3 linked regions of the Arabidopsis thaliana genome follow. The protein of the gene in region 2 interacts with the protein of the main gene of each other region in a pairwise test. Each region holds a gene or a part of one and is shown on either strand. Other genes may lie near its edges.

Region 1 (9,128 bases), on a different chromosome or scaffold from region 2:
GGAGGTTTGAGGATGCCATTGGTGTGTTTAAGCGGATGAGTCAGGAGAGCAATTTGAAGTTTGATGAAGGTACAATTGTGAGCACTCTTTCGGCTTGTTCGGCTTTGAAGAATCTTGAAATTGGTGAAAGGATTTATAGGTTTGTTGTTACAGAATTTGAAATGAGTGTTAGGATTGGGAATGCGTTGGTGGATATGTTCTGTAAATGTGGGTGTCTCGATAAGGCTAGAGCGGTTTTCGATTCGATGAGAGACAAGAATGTTAAGTGTTGGACTAGTATGGTTTTTGGGTATGTTAGTACTGGTAGGATTGATGAGGCTAGAGTTTTGTTTGAGAGAAGTCCTGTAAAGGATGTTGTTTTGTGGACAGCTATGATGAATGGGTATGTTCAGTTTAACCGGTTTGATGAGGCATTGGAACTGTTCAGGTGCATGCAAACTGCGGGAATTAGGCCGGATAATTTCGTGCTAGTCTCTCTCTTGACAGGTTGCGCGCAAACGGGAGCTTTAGAGCAAGGAAAATGGATTCATGGGTACATAAATGAGAACAGGGTTACAGTAGATAAAGTAGTTGGTACTGCTCTTGTAGACATGTATGCAAAATGTGGATGCATTGAGACAGCTCTAGAGGTTTTCTATGAAATAAAGGAGAGAGACACAGCTTCGTGGACATCACTTATCTACGGTCTTGCGATGAACGGGATGTCAGGAAGAGCGCTGGACTTGTATTACGAAATGGAAAATGTTGGTGTTAGACTAGACGCTATAACATTTGTCGCGGTTTTAACAGCTTGCAATCATGGTGGATTTGTAGCAGAAGGCCGTAAGATTTTCCATTCGATGACCGAAAGACATAACGTCCAGCCTAAATCAGAGCACTGCAGCTGTCTGATTGACCTACTATGCAGAGCTGGTTTGTTAGATGAAGCAGAGGAATTGATAGATAAGATGCGTGGTGAAAGCGATGAAACTCTAGTTCCTGTATACTGTTCTTTACTTAGTGCTGCTAGGAACTATGGGAATGTAAAAATAGCAGAACGGGTAGCGGAAAAGCTTGAGAAAGTGGAAGTAAGTGATTCCAGTGCTCATACTCTGCTTGCAAGTGTATATGCATCTGCTAATAGATGGGAAGATGTAACTAATGTGAGAAGGAAAATGAAAGATTTGGGAATCAGAAAGTTTCCTGGTTGCAGCTCCATCGAGATTGATGGGGTTGGTCATGAGTTTATTGTTGGAGATGATCTATTATCACACCCAAAAATGGATGAGATCAACTCAATGCTGCATCAAACGACAAATTTGATGTTGGATTTGGAACATAAAGAAATTGATAGCTGAAACTTTCTTGTACATTCTCTAACTACTTCCCTTATCATTAACATTTGTTTCCCTGCTAATGAACCGGTTTTGAATCGATGTTGGTTTTGAATCGATATCAGCTTCTCTGTAACTGAATCAGGATTGATTGAGACTGAAGAAGAAGAAGATGAAGGAACATGGATTATTTCAAAAGAACATAAAGGCAGAGAGTAGTTTTTCTACAAAGGTCACAACTATACAATTCAATTTCATGTTCAAATAAAAGTTTTTATACCAAAAATCAGAACAAAAAGAGAAAGGGCTGAAAATGAATGGCTCGAATCTGGTAAAACTGGAGGGGCAAAGTAAATGGCAACACAACACAAAGACTCTGTTCCATTAACTGGAAAATTATGGCTCTTCGTTGGTATTTGCAGGTTTTCTCGGGGAGCAAAAACGGAAATCGAATAGCATTTGAAGGCTTTCCCCGGGAAACCGGACTCGGTTTACTTTTTTTCTCGAGGTTTCGACTGGTGGGTTTATGCAATTAATCAGAGCTGGAATCATAAAATTCGCTGGGACAAGGAGTCATGACCTCTGATTCAAGTAACTGGACAACCCGATGCATCGTTGGACGCTCTTCTGGACTCGGAGACACACACTGTGTTGCTATTGATAGTAGAGCGTCAAGGCTCTCCATCTGCATTCCTTCACAGTTTGGATCAACAATATCCCTTGGCCGTTTTTCGCTGATTAAGAACTTTAGCTGTAAATCATGAGTCAAAAGCTTTTTTAGTCAAGTTTGTCGTAACAAAATATCAGTATTGAAAAAGAATCTTATTTGCATACCCAACCAACAACGTTAAGGCCTTTCTCGATGAAGGAAGCATCGGTTGGTCTTTTCCCACTCAAGACTTCAAGAACCAAAACCCCAAAACTGTATACATCGGTTTTCTCAGTTGCTCTACCACTTTGCATATATTCTGTCAAATGGAAAAGTCTCAGCATTTGAAAGATCAAATCTTTATGTAAGTAAAGACTTTTAAAAGGCATATGTACCTGGAGCTAGGTACCCAAATGTGCCTGCAACAATGGTTGTGATATGAGATTCTTCGTCTTCCAACAACTTGGCTAGACCAAAATCCGATACCCGTGCCTCGAGATTGCCATCAAGCAAAATGTTGCTCGACTTTATATCACGATGTATAATCCGAGGAGAACAATCATGATGCAAATATGATAACCCTTTCGCAGCTCCTATGATGATATTTACGCGTGAATCCCAGTCCAATTGCTCGCCTCTCTCTACTAATTCAAGAACCAAACTTCTCAGTGAATCATTCATAATATGGAAGAGAGCCATAAAGAGCAGATTGATCATACCATGAAGTGCTTCATCAAGGCTACCACCGGGCAAGTAATCATATAACAGTAGCTTTGATGTTGGTGAATTGCAATATCCACGTAGATTCACGAGGTATCGGTGTTTGATGCTCCCAAGAATCTCAAGCTCCCGCTCAAAAAACCGATCAAACCCTTCGTTTAACTTTAGAATTCTCTTCAATGCAAAGACTTTGCCATCATCCATGGCCAGCTTATACACCGTTCCAAAGCCTCCACATCCAATTATGTGCTCTTCATTCAACATTTCCAGCTTCTTAATGATATCTTTGGAAGAGTAAGGTAAATCTCCGTGGAACATCACAATAGACGCACCTGAATTGAAAAAGTCACAATGAAGATTTAGGAGATAGAGAAAAATATGAAATTTCCCAATATTTAACGAGATAATATCTGTACAAAAAAAATCAATACGGCTCACCTCCACCAACATCCTTTGCAAGGCTTTTAATCTCGACTTTACCGAGCTTTTTATATAGAAAGCATCCCCAGAAACACATGAGTGCAACTAGGAGTAGCGCACCTACAGTTGCTGATGCGCTAATCAGCAGCTTACCAGAGTTTTTCTTTTGATTTTGACCTATAAAGTATAAGACACCAAATAAATATAACTTTACTGATAGAGAGCCACAACAAAACCTGTATATCACAAGAAATTCATAATTGCTTTTACCTGATTGAGAATGTGATGAAGGGTTTCCACTATCATCTTGGCACACGACATCAACATGCTTTCCACACAAGTTAAGATTTCCAATGAAGCTGTAGTAGTAACGCATCAGTTTGAGAATCATATAATTTCAGTCGCACTGATACAATCTAGCTAAATAGTTATGTGGTTCAAAAAATCATCTCGAATATAAGCGAAATATGAAAGATCAGCTGTATAAATGTAACTTTAGAGGATTGACAAAAAAAAAAAAAAAATGTAACTTTAGAGGCTTTATTTTTCTATCCCTACAAGAAGAAAAGGGTGTTTATTGTCTTACGAGTTCTTAGAAAATCCAGAGAGCACTCCGTCTGAAGGTATTTGCCCCACCAGGAAGTTGTTCGAGACATTGCTTCATAAGACAAACGAAACAGAAAGATTCACAGGACTGCAATATGATAAATTACAGCGGAAGTTAGAGATTAAGGTGCTCACAAGTTACTAAGCTTTTTTAACTGCCCAAGCGAAGCAGGGATAGGTCCACTGAGAGTGTTGCTTGACATGTCCCTTGAAAATAAAATAAAAAAGTCAAAAGTCAGTTTTAGTAGAGAAAAGAGAACAATCAATATGTGAATCTGAAGTAAACAATACATTATCATGCTTTTCAAATTGCTCACCAAGAGTTTAGGTATAACTAGTTCTGAATATAATGTGCATGAGAAGACATTATGCAGTCAACCATATGTTACCATGATCCTAGATGGTGATAGAAGTAAATGAAAACAAAAAACAAATAGATATTGCATACACTAAAAGAAGGATGCACTTGCAAGTACGTATAGGGAAGAGAAAAAAACATACAGCTTTTGAAGGCCAGGCAGGTCTCCCATTTCAGCTGGGATTGGTCCAGTGAAGTAGTTACTCTGCAAGTGACTGCAAAACCAGTTGGACAATTTTGATGACCATAAGCAACTGGAATTGGTCTCTCAGAAACCATGTGGAATCAGTATAAAATCCTGGAAAAGCGCTTACATTTCCTCCAATGCTGTGCAATTTCCCAATGCTGTAGGTATTGCTCCATATAAAGCATTGTTGTGAAGCATTCTGCAATGACACACAGATGATCAGAATCGAAGTACTCTCTTAAGCAATAAAAATGAATAAGGCTAGAGAGCACATACAAAAGCCTTAAATGGTCCAACTTTCCAATATCAGGAGGTAAAGGTCCCATTATTTTGTGATAAGTAAGATTCCTGCGAAACAAGAGTATTAGGGAGCACAAATACTGAAGAGAAAACCAGTAAACCTTGACAAGTTTGAAAACTTACAAGGTTATAACTCTTTTCGTTTTTGCATCACATGTCACTCCGTTCCAGTTACATGGATCTGGATCTTCCGGTCTCCACTGATGGATGAAACTATCTGATCTAGTAACTGCATTTCTGAAGCTCAGAAGCGCCTCGCCTGAAGAATGGAAACAAGCAATAAAGGATTAAAGCTCAATAAAAGGTCCAGGACGCTATGAATAGTAATAGTTGATTCATATCGACGTACCGTCAGGACTAATCGCTTGACTTTCATTAGATAGTGAGCAAAGCAACGAGATCAAAAGAAGCCATGAGCAGCAGCTTTTCATCTCACAGATGCCCATCATGGCACTGTCCAAGCATAATATAACTACTACCAATCATTTGAAAAGAACAGCCTCTTGGTTGTCAGTTATTAGTTGATTCCATGTCTATGTTCAAGTAAGAAACTAGACTCCTGAAAAACAAAGGAAAGCCCACAAAACTAATTGTCAATTACACTACACATTAAGCTCAGTCTCCACACAACTTATGCATGCTCTCATCTACATTTTGAGTACTCAAAACAGTGAAATTGCCTCACAAGAACCAATACACACTTTCCAATTGCTAAAATCAGAAAACGAGAGCTAAATTCGGCCAACAATCTCAAAATCATCATCAACAAAAGAGCTCAAAAACAGCTCTAGCTTAACATAGATTACGAAATTCCCAGATACCATCCAATCCTATAACACAATAACAACTGAAGATTCGAACAATATAACAAATCCAAAAAACGATTCAGCAAAAGACCCAAAACCCCACTCTTTCCAACAATATCAAAGGTTATAGCTTTAAAAGCAAACAGAATTAGTAAGAATTATAAGAACCTCTAAAAATGGATCCGAGAGGAGGAAGAATTGAGACAGAGGAAGAAGAAGATGACTAATTTGAGCTGTAAAGCAAAAAAAAAAAAATATAACTTAAGGAGAAGATAAAAAAAACAAAAAAGGAATCGACTTTTTATTTTGTTTGTGTGATTTATGGTAAGAGTGAAGAGAGAGAAAACTAGAGTGAGAGAGAGAGAGTGTGTGAAGAAGAAGAAGATGCTTTCTTCTCCAAAGCATACGACCAATGAGAAGAAACGAAGTGGGTCTCGCACGTGCCGATCTTGACCTCCCACACGTGTCAACCGACGCTTTCTTCATAAAACCCAATTATTATTGCCAGCTAGACCTTAGCTAAGCCTAATCTCTACAATGGTCGAAATCATTGGGCCCATTTTTAAGGCCCATTACGGTATAAGCCCAGCGGTTTGATTGAACCGGTTTGAGATTAGAAGCCATTGTTGTCCGTTGTTTCACCATCGCGTTATATCGATGGCTACGGCGGCGATTATTTCCGTGAAACCGCCGGCGAGCTTCTACTGCGGAGGAAACCGACGCGACGGAGGAAGGGGAATCACCATTGCACGAGTTTCTCGAGACGAACGGTTTCATGAGAGGATCGTTGGTCTCTCTGCCTCGACCGTGTTGTTCATCGGTTTAAGTAGCCTCCGCGTCTGTTCTCCGGCCTCCGCTCGAATACTACCACCGCCGATTGTCGTTACAGAGAATGAAATCAACACAGAAACTGTAGCTGGTGCGTGAAATTGAACATTTTCGTCACTCTTGGGATTTCGATGGATTTGAATTTTGTGTTCCAATGGAATGTTTTTGCAGGTGAAGAGAATCTAAATGAAGTTGAAGATGAAGAAAAACTGGAAGCTGATTTCGAAGCGTACAAGTCTAAAGTGTATTCTCTTACTGTCCCGCTAAAACTCGTTGCCTTGCGTGGCTCAGTGCCACCATCATGGATCAAGGTTTTAGTTTCACTTGTCTGTGTTTCCATTTCTATTTTGAATCTTAAGCTTATAGTTGAAAATGTATGTTGTTGGATTCTGTGAATGGAATTTAGGAGTTTATGAGCTCACAAGGGAAGAGAGTGAGGTTAAAGACTCAGTTTCGAGGAAATCTTGAAGAGATCTTTTTCGATCTATCGAAACCAAGTAAGAATGGAAAAAAGGGGGCTGCTTCAACTGCAGCAGCTGATATGATCAGCATTGGTGATTCTTGGCTTAGTTTTGCTATTAAGGAAAAGCTAATTGAGCCAATGAAAGGGATAGAAGATCAAGACTGGTATAAAGGCTTGAGTGATAAATGGAAGGTGAGAATTTAAATCAGTGGTTTAACAATATGAATATGAGTCTTTTTGAAAGAACACTAGCTTGAGAGATTTTAATAGGCATAATCTTTCATGTGTTTTGTTTTCGTACTCTGCTAGCTTGGGAATGTTCATAGGGTTCATTTCATGACTTAGAAAGTCTCAGATTTATCTCCGCAGGAACTATGCGGGAGAAAAAGCTCCTGACGGTGAAACGTGGGCTGTGCCATACCGCTGGGGCACCATGGTTATAGCATACAAAAAGAGCAAATTTCAGAATTATAAATTGGCACCGATAGAGGTTGGTATACTTTGTTGTTGCTAAATGCTGTCTTAGTGTTTTCCTATTTAAAAGAAGTGAATATCACTGAACATTTTGCTGAATTTAGGACTGGGCTGATCTGTGGCGACCCGAGCTTGCAGGAAGGATCGCAATGGTGAATTCTCCTAGAGAGGTTGTTGGTGCTGTTCTCAAATACATGAGAGCATCATACAATACGACAGACCTGGATTCACAAGTTCCTGGCGGAAGATTAGCAGTGGAGAAAAATCTGGCATCACTCATGAAACAGGTTATTACCTCTTTACTATCTCTCCATACCCTAAAGAGAACAGATGAGTTTAGGCTGACGTGTTTCACTCAACCTCTATAGTTATTGAGAAAAAATGACAATGGTGGCTGATCTTGTTTCCCCTTTTGCTTATAGATTAGACTATTTGATAGTAACAACTATTTAAAAGCTTTCAATGTCGGAGATGTCTGGGTCACTGTTGGTTGGAGCAGCGATGTTATCCCTGTCGCAAAACGTATGTCTAATGTTACAGTGATTGTTCCCAAATCCGGTGCCACCTTATGGGCTGATCTATGGGTAAGTTACCGTCGTAAAATCACTTAACCCTTCATCTGATATCTTGAATGCTTCTTGTTCTAAAGACGATATAACATATCTGGACACTAAACCGTGAAGCATAATTGTTTTTCAAGGCGATCCCGGCTGTTTCTGACTCTGGTAAAGAAGCAGAACAAAGAGGAGGACGAGTCCGAGGCCCATCTCCATTAATCAACCAGTGGATAGAATTCTGCTTGCAACCTGCAAGATCGTTACCATTCACACGGGAAGTAATTCCTGGTGCATCTCCTTCAGCTCTTGATGGTCCTCTGGTTACAGAACCCGAAAAAACAAAGAAAGACAGAACAAAACTGGACACAAACCTGGTCACAGGTGTTCCTCCTCCGGAGATCTTGTCTAAGTGTGAGTTCTTGGAACCTTTACCAGAGGCTACGCTATCGGAATATCGGCTTCTGATTGAAACTGTAAGGAAGCAAAGCCAAAGACCTGGCCTTGTGGAGAAACTAAAGGACATTGTTTCAATTAAGGTTCGAGGATTTAGGGCAAAGCTTGACTCCGAGATGAATAAGAACATTTGAGAGACGGACAAAAGTGGAAATGGAATCATTTGTATGATTACATAGAGCAACTTCATGTTGGTTAACATAAGGGGTTTTCTATCTCCTTATAACAGAGTATCATGTCATGAAGAGCCAGAGGCTGATCGCCTTTGCTCATGTTACTAGTTAGTCGTTAGTTCAAACACTATAGATGCCAAAACAAGTGTATAAATTAAATTAAACTACACAAAACGCCTAATATAACCTAACATTATTTAATTTATTGGCCATCTAAGAGGTAAATATCATGTAAAACGGTGTTAATGAATGCTTTGTTTTGAAAATGAACAAGGGAAAGTTAAATGTTCTTTTTCTTGGGACTATCAGCCCAACAATGAGCTATGAAGAGCCGAAGCGTTTTCACATTCCTCAAGTTTTCGTAATCAACGCGAGTCACATTCAAACACGTATTATATGCTTTTAAAGTGAGTGACTCTGCGTTTTCTCGATTCTGTTTACTTATAAAAGTTGTTGTGTGATAATTTTCTCTATCAAGTATGGTAGTGTGACACTCGGTTCTAGGATTTAGTCTCTCTTCATCCTCTGGTATTTCTGTTTTGGTTTGGTTGCAAGGAGACTTCATTAAGATCAATGGCAGACCAATATGAAAAGAGGATAACATGGACGATTAAGAATTTCTCCTCTTTGCAATCTCATGCAATTTATTTTGATATTTTTGTAGTTGGGGACACCAAATGGTAAAAACTTGTTCTCTTATGTTTGCTAATGTTTGCGTTTCATTTTAGGTTTACTTGATATTACCCTTTGCTTATTGGTTTTTGGTTTATGCTTGTAGGCATCTTCTGGCCTATCCCAAGGGATATGGTGATAGCATTAAT
Region 2 (8,401 bases):
TGATAAGTATAGTTATATGAATTGTTACGATTTTAAGTTTCAAAATGATTACAAGATGTTCATCTTCAATCCAGTCATCCACCACAGATAAGTGTTGAAGATGATTATATCGACTCCTTTCCAGTGACGACCATGTTTGTTAATTGATCCTTTTCTCACAACCCTATCCGATATTCTATGGACAATTGCATCGTCTGAATTCGATTCTAGAAGAAACGGTGCCCAATAGAACTCTATCGTCGCGTTATACTCCTGCACAAAGATATAATAAGCTCTAATAAAAGGTGAGAATTTTGAATAAGTTTAAGTAGATAGGTTTACCTTGGCAGTGAAGACAGTGAGGGAACCATTGGTTTTAATTGATTTCTGATCTTCAGGAATAAGACGATGAAGAAGACAAATCATTGATACAAACATTCCACGGTTTAACGAGTCTCCTACATACATCATCCTCTTCCCTCTTAATGTCTCCAGCATCAGTGACGCGTTGAACCTATGAAACAGAGAAAACAGAGCAACACATGAAACAGAGAAAACAGAGTAACCCATGAAACAGAGAAAACAGAGCGTTTAGAGTGAGCTTACGAGGGAAGATCGCAGTGATTAGGCTGCCACCGCCAAAACTGGTAGTCTTTGTCGGGACGGCCGTGTTCTTGACATGTAAGCTGAGGTTGAATGTACGGACACTCCCATTCCTCATACAGTGGTCGGGAGACTTCATCTCTCACCCATTTCCCGCTGAAAACGTCACAGCTTTCCTCTGTTTTACCAATAGCAAACGCAAGCTTCTCCGATTTCTTATTCTTTTCTTAAGAATCCAAGAAATTGAAAACCAAAACACAAACTCAATTCCTCATTGTCAACGCGTATTCAAACCACAAGTTTAGTGAATAAACAAAATATTACCGGGTGTTCGAGAAGGCGGGAGGACGAAGTTAGGCTCGAGCTGTCCAAAGATGCACATAAAATCTTCACCATAGAGGACAGAGACGAAAAGAATGAAGGCTAAGAGTGTGAAGAGGTAAGGAGAAAAACGAGCTTTTCTAGCAATTGAAGAACTAGTGAGTGAAATTGGTGATGAAGGTTTCATGTTTAGGATTTGAGAATTAGTGTTACAAATGTGATTTCAAATTTTATATTATTAGGAAAAGAGGAGATAAAATTAAGAAATGAACACTTTGTGTTCTTGATGATCTCATTCTCCTCAACCAAATAAGAATGTGGGAGGAGGAAGCCAAAAGAACTTTATTTTGGAATTGCTTCAAGAAATACTAAAGATGTGAATTGTACAATGATTAAACTATTTATAATATGGTTATGATTATATTAGGTGATGAAATTTTTGTGAATTAGCAAAGGAAGTATACTTAAGAGTGATGAGTAGGTAAATGTTGACGCAACAGAGTGGTTGTCTACTAACTAATGCTTTTTCGTAAGATTTAATCCATTTATATACACATTCGTGTTTTCAGCAAAAATGTATATCTCTGTTTGTTTTTAAGTAATCATGTGATTTACCTTGATTTTAAGACAAAAACAATCACTGAGTTCACTGTGGACTACATCTAGTCCGTTTTGTATTTGATTAAATCCAACCTAGATGGTTATGATTAAATCATTGGCTTCCTTTGTCCTTTTTACTATGAATACTCTTCTAATATCTGTCAAAAAGGAACAAAAATTATTAGTTTCTTAGGCTATTGGAAACTTTGAGATGATGATTGATGGAGGTGAGGAATATAAATTCACTTGGCTTCTAAGCTAAGTGTCCTTGAGGTGTTTTCGTACAGTTGATCAATTTGTAAAGATGAGACATCGTTGTCTTTACCTTTGTCCAATGGATTTTTGATGTTACTTAGAAAACAATATAGAACAAAACTGACATTTATTAAAATTAATACTGAACAATGTGAGATCAAACAAAATCTTAATTATCGGTCTATAATTTTTTTTTTTTATATAGTAACTATCAGGAGAGAGTTCAAGATGAAATGAATAGTGGAATTAGTTGAGAAATTGTTGGGCTTTCAAGCTCAAGTTGTTGGCTCTCACTTTTCCTCTTTGTACACACTCTTCGTCCAACAAAACAAAACACTAAGCCAATGTTTCTTTAGATGCTACAATACTCAAAATTGTACAAAGAGATGCTTTCAAGAAGCTTCATTGGCAACTACTGTATATTATGACGACTGGACCGGCCAGTTTGACCGGTTTGGCTCAGCTAGACCAGTTTCTAAATCGGCTCAAATTTAACCGAGATCACTAAAAGAACAATCTGGTTCGTGGATTTTTGGTCAATTGCAACATCTCTATCCTAAACATTGATCACTCGCCTATCAGAAAACTCACTGAAAGAAAAGAGATATCCACTTATCCAACGCCAAGCGGATGCAAAATGTGCTAAAACATCAACACATCGGTTACCATTACTCAAAATCAGCATCAAGAAACTGAAACAATCTCCAAAGAGCAAACACACGAAATGGGAAAGGCTGCAGATTGCAATGGCTTGACATTGTTTCTATCCAATGAACAAGATTCTTTTGTTTCTACAGGGATCCATGACATAACAAGCTGAAAAGGAGAGGCACCTTATAACTTGCAGTCATATAATGGCCAAAAGAGTACTCAGGGTATAACAATCTAGCGGCGTTTGCAATTGGTTGAACCAGTCAAGGAAAGTTTGGGGATGTGTCTCCAGACCATGGATCAGAGAAGATGCTGAGACTGCTCAGAAGTTGACCTGAGAATATGAGGTTTGCTGACCACGAATAGACCCCCCGAATCTTGAAAATAGTGAGCCAAAACAGCTCTGCAAGATGAAGAGGAAACGTAAGCTCATTAAATTTAATTCTTAGACACCAATCTACCAGAAGAGAATATAGAAACACAGAACAATACCTGTATACTGTGAGGTACAGTGGCCCAGTAATCCATATTCGGGATTACCTATAAAACAGGGTGTTTACATTTCAATTGTGATAGAATCAGTACATGAGAAAAACTTGCATATATAAAGGAAGGTAGTGAAACATACATCTATGCCACGAATTCCAAGGGAGAAATACCGATATACTGCACCACCCACCAGATAAGCTCCAAACAGGCACAAGATACTGAGAAAGATAAGAACATTTCATTTTTGATTCCCACGATATCTAAACATATTCCAATAGGCCTCACATTAAAAAGATTGGTTTGCTCACATGATTAGTAAGGTACTAAACCAGCCCCATCCACTACTATGGCCGGATATAGCTGCTGCACAACCGGCAGGATGTCGCAGCTGAGTAGCCTGTCAGTGAAACAAGACCATAACTACCCAGAGTCCATACTTCTTAAGAATCAAGATATTGAGATGCAAATAAAAACTCAGTTTTCAAACTTAAAACCCATAAAATTCACAAAAGAAACAATCACACTTGGTAATTTGAAAGCTACAGGAAAAGAGCAAATAGATGAGTTACTGAACACTCACATACTGACAGGTACCAGATTTCGCCAAAGTGAGTGGTCCCTGAGAAAAGAAAATGGTGAACGAGGTTTTACGTCTTAAAAACTCCTAAAATCAACTTCAATTCATACGCTTAAGTAGGATGTCTGATATACAAATCCTTACATCAACTTTAGTTTTCTGGCAAATAACAGAAACTGAAAGCGAGCAATTTTGGTTCCTATTTCCAGTTGACATCTGAACAATGACGCCTTTGCCAGGATCCTCTTTATCTACCATATTCAAAACAAAAATCCTGAGGCACATTTATTACATTATTATTGCAAACGAAGTTGGGAGAAAACAGCATTAACAATTTAGCTTTTTCACAACTTAGAACACAGGGTGAAAATAGTCTCAATTTTCACATATCTTAAACCTTACCAATAATATCAACTTTTGTGCTTGAGGCATGCCCTAGAGAAGTGCATACATCATACCCTGCAAATGATTAGATTTTTAAGATGGTTTAACTCTTCATTAGCACAAAAGCATTGTGCAATCTGCAACCTTATCATTCTCTACTGAGCTACATAATATACATTAAGATAACATGCTGTCAGAGTGTGATTTTAATACCTCTTACATTTTCTGACACAAGTGCACTACATGACGTTCCGCAGTGAGATGGACCTCCACAATCCTAAGTGAAGAAAAGCAAAGTCACAGAGACTGATTGAGATTCTCAAAGTTAAAATAGAAACTTTTTCTGTAGAAGGATAGATCAAGACAAGAAAAGTAGCCAAATATCTTACTTCGCAACCAACACATCGAGGGGGATCATGATTGAAAATCAGCACGTCACAAAGCTGTTCCACAAGACGGTTTACAAAAAAAATAACAAACATAAATCACAATGGCGTAGTGTAAAACATAAACGGCAGTATGACTACCAAGCAGTTATACATCTTCAAATCAGAACCACCTTAACTCTAAATGCTTTCCTAATCTAAGCAACGTATCGTTCTTCCTCTACTGTTCCATTAACCTATCTATTCCTTTTTCCTTGTTACCAGTTATCAGAAATTACATACAACAAGATGAATTACACAGGCACGCGAGAAATCCAAGATACAGGATCATAGATGTTATGATCAGTGTAACAGAGAAAAATACAGAAACAAAGTGTAACCTGATGTAGAAGACAACCTGAAACCATAACACGGAACTGTTCGCTTCCACTTTATAAAACCTGCTTATCCAATTATTGCATTTAGTATAAGCACAACACAAATGAAGTAACATAGACGAACATTTTAACTTAACACCATCCAGTACAAATCACAATACCAAATGCAACATTCTACATAATAATTTCATAAGATGTACAGAATTTGAAATTGAAAGCGAACTTCAAGCATATAAGAAATGGAATCTGGGACAAAAGGAAAAGCGAAAGTACCCATCTTCGCTGAGCACACCGTGAGGATAATTCCGAATCGAAGATGCTAGGTTGAAATGAAAGACCTTGTTGCGTCCAGTGAAACTGAATTCACATTGAGAGTTAACTCGTGAGCTAATAAACAGTAGAGTGATGAGAATAAATCTCGGGATCCAAAGTTTCCCCGACATTTCTCCTTAGCTCCTAGCTTATCGATTTCCAATTTCAATTTTTTGAAGATTCTCTCTTACGATCTCATGACCATGTCCGAGGATCTCCACGGAGATGGCGAGCGAGACTGAGAGAGAAGAAGAGATGAGTGCTCGGCACGGCTGCAGTCGTCGCTGTTGTTGATTTCACATCCGCCGTTGGTTCAATCGAAATTTCAATTGTACCCTTAATCTTAGTAATTCTTACGAATAAGCCGCATAAATTATTTTTGTATATCATTTGCAATTTGAAGCCTGAATGTTATCAACTATGGGCCTTCTCAAATCTCAAACGGCCCATTTAAAAACCGAACCAGAGTATGGTTCAATTTAGTTTCTTCAGATGAACCGGATTTATTGAATTTATTCAGAGATTTATGTAGAAATTCTTTCGTCCAATTGTTTAATCATGTGTTTCTATTCGATTTTCAGAAAATACAATTTCTTGTAGATTATGGATGTTAATTTTTTATTTTATCTGAAAGCTTATATACATATTTATGTTTTAATTTGGAATTTCGGTTATAAAAAAAAACATTATCCTATACATCAAATAATTTGGTTTATTCATAAATGAAAGTATCATATACACAACACATCGTTATTATTTTGATGGCTCGTCAAATCAATTCAGACAATGTTGAGGAACCATTTTACCGCTCATAGAACCATCAACATTTTCGCAAACTGCAATGGAAGAACTATTTTCAAGTCCATTACTTTTTATGTTAATGTCAATTAGCTCAATATTCTTGCACGGAAAGCTTTTGCTACATTGAAGATTCATTGCCACTTTGTTCTTTGACGTTCCATATATGTTTTTTAACTTAAGATCTTGGATTTGAACGTGAGACTCTCCCTGAAGAAAAATAAACACAAGTTGTCTTTTATATTTTTGTTCTTATTCTTTTGATGAAATAAGAGAATGATGAAGCTTGTTTTTTGAATAGAATGTTAACCTTTTGCTCATGTTCACAAGGAGGATGAGGACAATACTTCTGATCGATGTTGATTGGTTTTCCAACGTCAATCATCTGAATATTCTCGTACACAAAGTTCGAAACGAGGATTTTTGAAGCTGAAGATTCCCAAGTCTTGATCCGAATACCATCACTTGTACCGTTGAAAATGACGTCTCTTACTGTTAAGTTTTTCACGTCTTTCTCGTCTTTGTTCTTCCCTAAACTTCCAACACTGATCCCATGTCCGGGACCACATTTAACATTAGAGATATCGAGGTTAGTGGTTCCAGAGAGAATGGCAATACAATCGTCTCCGGTACCGATGTTTGTGTTGGAGATGTGCATGTTGCTACATGAACCCATCTTGATACCGTCGGTGTTAGGACTATCACCGGAAGCTGTTATAGTGACGCCGGTAATATTAAAGTGATGGACGGAGAAGAAGTTGAAATGTCCCATTTTGCTGTTGAGTGATGTTATGTCTTTGATATTTGAGTTGTTCACGAATGCAAATCCCATAGTCTATAAAAAAATTCAAGTTTATTATAAGACTTGTTAATTTCTCAAATGAAAAAGACCAAAAATTCTAATAAAGTTGTGTATAAATATCACATGTACGTTTTGTAATACGCTTTAAATGTAAATAAGTGAAAAAGTTTAAGATATGTTACCATAGCTAGTTTAGGACAATTGAGATTTTTGTGGCAGTCATTGAGTGGCCAAGATTGTTTTCCTTGGCCGTCAAGTGTACCGGAACCGGAGATAGAAAGATTGTTGATGTACCTAAAGTTGATCCATGTATCTTGCTTAATATCACTAGGATTTGCAGGAGCCAATAAAGTTCCATCAATGACGAATTCAATAGGATTTTTGCATGGACCCACAAACTCTACACCACCGAGGTAAAATATTCCTTTTGGTACATAGATTTTACTACTTCCACTTTTTCTTTTGCATGCACGACTCCATATACTTGTGAATACCTGATTTTGTATGTGTTAAGAATGATATATATATGTTAAAATACAATAAATTAAAAATATATATTTATCTTTTTGGTTTGTATATTTGTCATATATGTTTATAGTTGTGCTAATGTGCATAGATTTTCATCTCATAACTAATTAATGGTAAAAAAAAAATTAGAAAAATTCTCGTTTACATACATTGGCATTATCAGTTTTTCCGTCCGGCTTAGAACCATGACGTTGGACGTTAAACGTTTTTGGTCGGATAGTAGGACGACTTGCAACAAATATGAACAAGAAAGATACACATAAAACCTTAAACACAAAAGCAATGCTTGCCATCTTATTATTGAGTTTAAGGTGTATGGAAAAAAAAAATTGTTGTTTATCAATACTTGTTCTAAGAGATGATGAGAAGTGTTAGCCTACATTATCAGCTTATATAGAGTTAGCATCTCTCAATGAACAGGTAGAAGAACTGGATTATGGTTACTAATTAACAACTAAAATTGTGTTTTTTTTTTAGTGGTAATGATTTTGATTGGTTAATAATATCTTGTTATGAAGATTTTTGAGTGTATATGTTTTTTTTTTGTTCTCTCCTCTAAAACAGAATCTTCAATTTGAGGAATGTGCCAATCATATTTACCAATTACTTGTTGTTTTTGTTTGTTTTAATTTAAATTGCATAAAACCAAATTGTTTTCCTTATGCACTCTTTCTTATTTGTTCCAATTTTAAGGGATATTTAATTTTAGTATTTTAGTTGTTCTGTTAACTTTTTTATTCACTAATCACAAATTACAAGAGATTTTCTATTAAATAAATGATTATTTACTTAATTAAGTAATTAGTGAAAGAGATTTTGAAGCTGCAATTTCAATTTTCATCACATAAAACAAAATTATACAGCTTCAAAACAAATAAGTCACGGATAAACAAAATTCCAGCAACGACAAAAAGAAAAAGAAAAAAAATTCCAGCAACGCAGTTGAACCACAAGCTTGCCACGCGCCATGACCCATCCCACGATCTCGTACGTACACGTGTCTCTCATCCGCAGCCTCATCATCAACACATCACAATCTCACTTTTACATATATCTCCCTCGCCTCACGAAAAATCCATTCGTCTTCTCCAATTTTCTCGCGAAGAAAACTTTCCTACTTTGTTTCAATCCAAACGAGTCAAAATGCTTCTCAAGACTGTTTCTTCATCTTCTTCTTCAGCTCTCTCGCTGGTGAATTTCCATGGCGTGAAGAAGGATGTGTCTCCTTTGTTACCTTCCATTTCATCGAATCTTCGAGTTTCTTCTGGAAAATCTGGAAACTTAACTTTCTCTTTTCGCGCATCTAAAAGCTCAACCACCGACGCGCTAAGCGGCGTTG
Region 3 (6,733 bases), 4.3 Mb from region 2:
AAACTCCATAAGCGCTCAATTTCCGTATCTGTTTCCTCCATTTCTGAGTCACTATCTTCAACGGCTTCAGGGAATTGCAATTCTCTGATTCGAGGAACACTTTGCAGTAGCAAAAGTTGGAGTGCGTGTGGGAAACCTTGAACGGTGATAGATTTCCGCATAAGTTTATCAGCTCCCCTTGCAGTAACACTCTTCAACGTCATTAGGAATGACATAGTCCCCCAAGGAAAATTTAGAAACATGTCTAAATTTTCTGCCATGTCCGCATGGACCGGAGAGATTTTACTTCTACCCGAGGTTGGGCATAAAACGCCATCAATCAAGGCCAGCACAGCGTAACGTAAACGAATTCCTTGATCTTGAACCACTCGCTTCTTCAGCCTGCCAACAACCCACTCAACAGATACATCACTGCGGTCAAATAGGCTGTACCAATACTTGCCAGGCGCCAATTTTCGTTTCCCTTTCCTCTCTTTCATACGAGGCGGTTTGTCGCAGTTCAAACCGGTAACATTTTGAAACTCAGAAATGGAAAACCGAACAGGGGATCCAGAGAAAATTACCCAAATTTCTTGTTTCTTCCTAACAACAAGCTGCCTCGTTAGCAAAAAGTGAATAAGCTTCCCAGAATACGCGGCGCTTTCGGAGAAATCAAATAATTTCCCAAACTGAGATTCCCGGAGAATTTTCATGTCCTCCGCATCTAACGCGTTAGCGATGTCATCTATCAAAGACAGTTCACTGTAGGACTGCACTCTCTCACCGTTGGGCTCGGATCCAGACCTAAACAATCGACGGGGTAAAGAGTTGTTCATCATCTACAAGTCGAACCCTTTTCTGCACAAAATAGAAGTTTATAAATCAGAAACAGTATGTACCTAAGATTTCAGTTAATCGGAATATAGATTGGAGAAATAAAGAAGTTGATGGCGATCGAGAACGTTGAATAGCTTAAACCGCATATATTTGTGAAATTACCTGTAGCCCGATGGAATTGATTGCCTAACTGCGAGATTGAATCTAAAGAAACGATATGTATGAGAAACAATATAGATTTGAAATAGATATTCGGAGAGTTTGCAGAATCTATGGGTAGAGAACGGAAGACGTTTCCTCTCGGAAAACCAGCAAATGAAGCGGCGCTAGGTTTTTTTTTGGAGCTCCTGATATTTCAAAAAATTCGATAATAAATCGATTTCTCGAAATTAAAATCTATATCGTTTGCGTCCACATACAGCATTGCTCTTACCAAGGTTTTCAAAATTCAAATTTCTGCAATCATACGCCTATACACCTATATGTCCCCTAACCAAGAACACAGTTATAGGGGGTTGCGGGTAATTTCAGATACGTCTCCGACAGACACTATAGACTCATAGTTAGTTTCTATATTATTATTGATTTCATGGTCATCTAGTGCATATACCCTTCTTTTAAATTAACCAGGTGAATCCAATCCAAAATCTAAACTAATCCCTTTAACAAAAAAAAAAAAAAATCTATACTGAACCCAAATTCCATAGAAATCTAGATTTTGTTGCTACTATAAAAATCTACTGGTGAACAAAGATAATTGAAATTACAATGAAAGGGCTAGAAAAGTCTGCCAACAATACTATTTATTTGCTTATCTTTTCTTTAACAATACATACTAGTTATCCTAAAACGACGAACAAACATCATTTAGAATTTAAAATCAAACACAAATATTTTAAAATATTCATTTTCTCGGAAGAGTACGAAGATTGTTTAATCGAAGATAATATTTAATGAAATTAATTTCTCAAAACGAGAAATTCTTATTTCCATTTTTAAAAGTTATTCTATGTATTATTCATATCATGCTTATGCATCTTGGGTCCAATCTTGATTTGTACAACGGCGTTTCGAGATCATCGTTAGCCATTTCCTCTTTTAGACGACGTAGTCATCATGAGGGAGATGTTCTGTACCGTTGAGATACTCCAACACTTTCTTCATCATTGGCCTATCTTCTGGAGATCGTCTCACGCAGAGAAGTCCTGTTTTCAGAACCAATAACACTTCTTCAGAGACTAAATTCTTTTTCTTGATTCTTTTGTCGCATCTCCTTAAGAGATTTCCGCTCTTGACCCCTCGAAGCACCCAGTTCACTAAACTGATCTCTACCGGTTCCTTTGTCGGCTCTATGGCTCTCCTTCCACAAACAATCTCCATGATTAACACTCCAAATTCAAACACATCTGTGGCACATGTAGCCTTTCCCGTGTTGACTAGTTCTGGTGCAACGTGTCCCGTAGTGCTGTGTCTGCTTCCATGTCCATAGTCTCCTAGTCGAGCGTTTAGCTCTCCGTCCAAAAGAACGTTACTTGCTTTGACATTTCCGTGTATGAGAGGTTTTTGAACCTCAGCGTGAAGATGTTGAAGTGCTGACGCAATACCCTTTATAATACAAAACCGGTGTACCCATTTGAGAACTGGTAGGTCGTTGCTGAACAAGAACCGGTCTAGGCTTCTATTGATAACATACTCGTAAACAAGATAGATCTCGTTTCCTTTGCTGCAGTAACCATGTAGATCAACAAGATTTCTTTGTTTTACCTTGGAGATTGCATCGATCTCGGCTATTAGGGCTGTCTTTTCTTGCCTTGTGTTGCAAGTAATTCTCTTTACGGCAATTATCTCTGTAGGAGCAAGTTGCCCTTTATAAAAACTCCCAGAGTTTCCCTCTCCCAAAAGCTTAGAGTTGTCAAAACCTCCCGTCGCGCTGGAAATCGTCTGGTGGGAGAATTTCCGTGCGCCTCCGGTGAAGTTTTCCGTTCTACGAAAAAAGCAAACCGCTAAGAAGCTTAAGATCAAGATTCCAAATATTGCTGATGCAGCAATGATTATGATCAGCATCGTGTTACTCGAATTTTTCATGACTGAAACCGGAGGACTCGGGGATGGAGACAATGGAGGTAGCGGGTCTGGAAGAGAGGGAAGCTTCGTGATATCAAAGTCTGATGCTTTCCCCTCGATGCTGAAGCTCCAGCCTAGCACAAAATGTGAGCTCGTGACAGTTCCCGTGGCTGCAGAGAATCCAACATAATTTTCTTCAGAGATGATCCCAGAAAGATTTAGTTTTCTAGAGAGAAGAGGCAACTTTGGCTTCGGACGATCTAGAGGAGCCAATGTGACATTGAGCATCGTCTCAGTTGCGTTGTATTCGATCCAGACTCTTATTGGTTTCCCACTCGCCAGCCTCAAACTTATGTTCTTTGCCTCTCGGTCATCAAAATATTCAGCGGAGGTAGACTCAATGGAGATCACTCCGTTGAGGTCTATACCAACATGGTTATCATCAATATCGTTCAACTCAACGGCCTGCACAGTGTCGAATTCAACTGCAAGAATGCAATTCAAGGAGTTTCCATTGTTGGAGGTATTGAATAGGCCTAGATAATTGCTTGGTAAGGCCCCGCTAAAGTCCAGCGAGGGTGAAATGACAAAAGCTAAGCCGTGGCCTGGTGCGCCAGGTCCTGGAGTGATGGCAAAGACGAAGCTTGTGGGGAAAGATACCAAATTTGAGGAGTTGGGGTTTAAGAATGGTATGGGAAAGCCATGAAAAGCTTGACCTATTTGCCTCATCGAAGTGTTTGTCAACTCCAAGTGGCCACTCGGGTGGATCTTGGACGAGCCAGACTTGAGGAGATTAGCTTCCAGAAAGCCATGGTTAAGAAATTTGGTTTGTTGTTGACTTGAGACACAAGAAAAGTATAGTAGGAAGATTATTGATACAGCTATCGATTTATAGGTATTAGCCATTGATAGTTTTCAGATTTTGATGTTAGCTATGTTCAATGCTATCTTTTTATAGCTTCAAAGAGCTCAAGACACATTCATATTCAAATTTTTTGTTTATGCTGACAAGTTAAACAAACTTAGTTGAAGATTTGACTTTCTATATAAACTGCTAAACAAACCCTTTTTTTTTTTGCAAACCTTTATATTAGTATCCTTGAAAAATTCTTTCGAACTTTCCTCCACAATTTCTTCCTAATAAAATTGATTGCAAAATAAACAAGAAAATGGTTACATATTTTCTGTATAATTTAAATGTGATTACAAAGTCATAATGGATCAAAAATTATTGAACAAAAAAAACGTCATCTTTTAGCTAGCCTTTAGGGTGAATCACCTTTTTTTTTGTTACACATATAATTTTGACTGCCTAACGATCGACGTTTATCCACTATGACTATGTGATACAAACAAATAGAAAGGTTTCTCTTGAGTCTTGTAATTGTGCAATTATTTGTATTAGGAAGAAATTGTGGAGGAAACTTGCAATAATTATCAACTATATGTCGCATAAAAGGCGTTGCTATGTTAGGCTTTTAGCCACTATATATCCAATATAAAAATAAAAAATGGATGAACAATTGAACATTCCTTGAAATTAAAGTGTTAACTTTAAATATGAATATTTATAATAAAAAAATATCCTAACTTTTTTTTATTATTATTATAAAGACATACGTTGTCAAACTAAGAAATTCAATTTGTAAACGAAGAAGAAGAATACTTGACCATTCAAATCTTAGTCTTGTTCTCACTGAAAACTTGTACAAAAATAAATAATTACAAAATCTAGAGAAGTTTTCATGCAAAATTGTATATGTAGATGTAGTCAGATAGAGTTCCATATATTCTATAAACGAAGAAATCACAACAATACAATGTACAAATTAACATCATTAGATTAGAGTCAAAGAATTTTTAAAAATATATCAACTTTCTGAGAAGAGTACAAAGATTGTTTACGAACGAAGAATTCTCAAAACATAAAATAATTAGTTTCCATTTTACAAAAATGATCTTAGGTAATCTGCTTATATTGGTTAAAGTATTTCTATTTTCTAACCAAAACTTAGGCAATTTATTTTGTCACCAACATACAATATTATATTAACAATCTATATATTACTAATCTATATGTTTTTTTCTTTTTGGTCTAAGGTAAACTTTGTGATTTAATTGTAGTATTGTACCTCTTCAATAGATACTCCGTACTCGCATGTATTAATAGAGCATCACATTTATCGACTTCTCTATGGTTAGTTTATGCATCTACTAAGTTTTTTATGGACTTTTGTTTTTGTTGTTCATTTATCGAAATAAAGCAAAAAACTGCAACGATCCAGTTAATCCGCAAAAATTAATGAATTAGAGTTTTTTTTTTTTCTCTTCTTCTTGTTGCATTTTCTCCTTTTTTTTTCTATTTTTTCTAATGATATTAACTAATATCTTCCCTACTAAAATATTGAAATGCTTTATTTTATTTTTTAAATAAAGAAATTGATTATGATTTTTTTTTTGTTACAGTTTATAAATGTGTCTAATAATTTATGGATATTTTATAAAGTTTATAAGATATATATACAGTAATTTAAAATTTGCCGCAATGATGACGTCGTCATCGTCACTAAACCAATCAGAACCATGCTTCGCATAAAGGTGACTCTGACTCATTTGAAAAGCTGAAACATAAACTCTGCTCTGCATAAATGGTGCTTGACATGGCTTCTCACTTGTACACAAATCCACCTCAAAACCTTCACTTTATTTCTTCTTCTTCTTCCCTTAAACCTCATTTATGCCTCTCTTTCAAACGCATAAACCCTAAACACAAATCCTCTTCCTCTTCCGTCTTCGTCCCTTACGCATCACAGAGTTCCATTGCCATTACCTCCAAGGAAAGATGGTCTCTCAATGGAATGTCTGCTCTTGTCACCGGCGGCACTCGTGGAATTGGGTTTGTCTCTCTTCACAACAAGTGTGAACCTTTATCAAACGCAAATTCTCAGAGTAGTGTGTGTTACTGTTTAAATTCTCAGGCGTGCGATTGTGGAGGAATTGGCTGGTCTTGGAGCAGAAGTTCACACTTGCGCTCGGAATGAGTACGAGCTGGAGAATTGTTTGAGTGATTGGAACCGTTCTGGTTTTCGAGTTGCTGGATCCGTTTGCGATGTCTCTGATCGATCTCAGAGAGAGGCTTTGATGGAGACCGTGTCATCTGTGTTTGAAGGGAAGCTTCATATCCTTGTAAGGTTTAATGCCATTGCTTAGAGATAATGCACATAAAGTGTTTGTTAATTTGTCTGTGAGAACAATTGTAAATAAATAACTTTACTTTCTTGTGTAATTATGATGCTTTTAGGTAAACAATGTTGGGACGAACATTAGGAAACCAATGGTAGAGTTTACTGCTGGAGAATTTTCGACTCTGATGTCTACGAATTTCGAATCGGTTTTCCATTTATGTCAACTTGCTTATCCATTGCTTAGAGAATCTAAAGCTGGAAGTGTTGTGTTCATCTCTTCTGTTTCTGGTTTTGTTTCCCTCAAGAATATGTCGGTCCAATCTTCAACCAAAGGTAGGTATTTGTTCTTATGCAGCATTCATTCATTTATTCAGGTTTTACCAAGATGTATTAGATTCTTTAACGAGCAGGCGATGGATAAACTTTGGTTCTTTTCGTTGGCCTTTGTGTTTTAGGAGCAATTAATCAACTTACGAGAAGTCTGGCTTGCGAGTGGGCCAAAGACAATATAAGGATCAATGCTGTTGCCCCGTGGTATATCAAAACATCTATGGTGGAGCAAGTATGGGTTTAAAAGCCTTATTATCTATTATGCGGTTAAATATAAGCTCTTGAGGCTGAAAATCAAAATGAGAAAGACTAAGCTAATTTGTGTGTTCCTTGTTTAA

What was found.
Region 1: the proteins of AT2G40316 (region 2) and FEI1 interact in a protein complementation assay, tested with the Arabidopsis thaliana proteins (one large-scale study listed by BioGRID).
Region 3: the proteins of AT2G40316 (region 2) and AT2G29250 interact in a protein complementation assay, tested with the Arabidopsis thaliana proteins (one large-scale study listed by BioGRID).

The regions. Positions count from the first base shown.
Region 1 is NC_003070.9:11,246,234-11,255,361, reverse strand, and holds FEI1 (Leucine-rich repeat protein kinase family protein), read right to left. Parts: upstream 5,745-9,128; 5' UTR 5,003-5,744; coding exon 4,903-5,002; intron 4,813-4,902; coding exon 4,677-4,812; intron 4,602-4,676; coding exon 4,530-4,601; intron 4,453-4,529; coding exon 4,381-4,452; intron 4,282-4,380; coding exon 4,210-4,281; intron 3,916-4,209; coding exon 3,844-3,915; intron 3,761-3,843; coding exon 3,689-3,760; intron 3,462-3,688; coding exon 3,373-3,461; intron 3,280-3,372; coding exon 3,121-3,279; intron 3,015-3,120; coding exon 2,682-3,014; intron 2,607-2,681; coding exon 2,358-2,606; intron 2,282-2,357; coding exon 2,148-2,281; intron 2,065-2,147; coding exon 1,846-2,064; 3' UTR 1,447-1,845; downstream 1-1,446. Other genes in the region: AT1G31430 (Pentatricopeptide repeat (PPR-like) superfamily protein), read left to right, coding at 1-1,337; AT1G31410 (putrescine-binding periplasmic protein-like protein), read left to right, coding at 6,017-6,278, 6,359-6,498, 6,594-6,842, 7,006-7,140, 7,229-7,411, 7,547-7,708, 7,825-8,268; AT1G31400 (TRAF-like family protein), read left to right, coding at 8,881-8,987, 9,086-9,128.
Region 2 is NC_003071.7:16,833,019-16,841,419, reverse strand, and holds AT2G40316 (autophagy-like protein), read right to left. Parts: upstream 5,317-8,401; 5' UTR 5,066-5,316; coding exon 4,896-5,065; intron 4,686-4,895; coding exon 4,643-4,685; coding exon of another isoform or gene 4,626-4,642; intron 4,303-4,625; coding exon 4,249-4,302; intron 4,137-4,248; coding exon 4,073-4,136; intron 3,935-4,072; coding exon 3,878-3,934; intron 3,727-3,877; coding exon 3,620-3,726; intron 3,518-3,619; coding exon 3,479-3,517; intron 3,296-3,478; coding exon 3,207-3,295; intron 3,117-3,206; coding exon 3,038-3,116; intron 2,950-3,037; coding exon 2,902-2,949; intron 2,813-2,901; coding exon 2,732-2,812; 3' UTR 1,974-2,731; downstream 1-1,973. Other genes in the region: TBL33 (TRICHOME BIREFRINGENCE-LIKE 33), read right to left, coding at 53-252, 322-493, 586-808, 907-1,090; AT2G40310 (Pectin lyase-like superfamily protein), read right to left, coding at 5,709-5,942, 6,043-6,567, 6,717-7,028, 7,212-7,355; FER4 (ferritin 4), read left to right, coding at 8,206-8,401.
Region 3 is NC_003071.7:12,576,995-12,583,727, forward strand, and holds AT2G29250 (Concanavalin A-like lectin protein kinase family protein), read right to left. Parts: upstream 3,787-6,733; coding exon 1,915-3,786; downstream 1-1,914. Other genes in the region: AT2G29260 (NAD(P)-binding Rossmann-fold superfamily protein), read left to right, coding at 5,529-5,776, 5,859-6,066, 6,182-6,398, 6,521-6,627.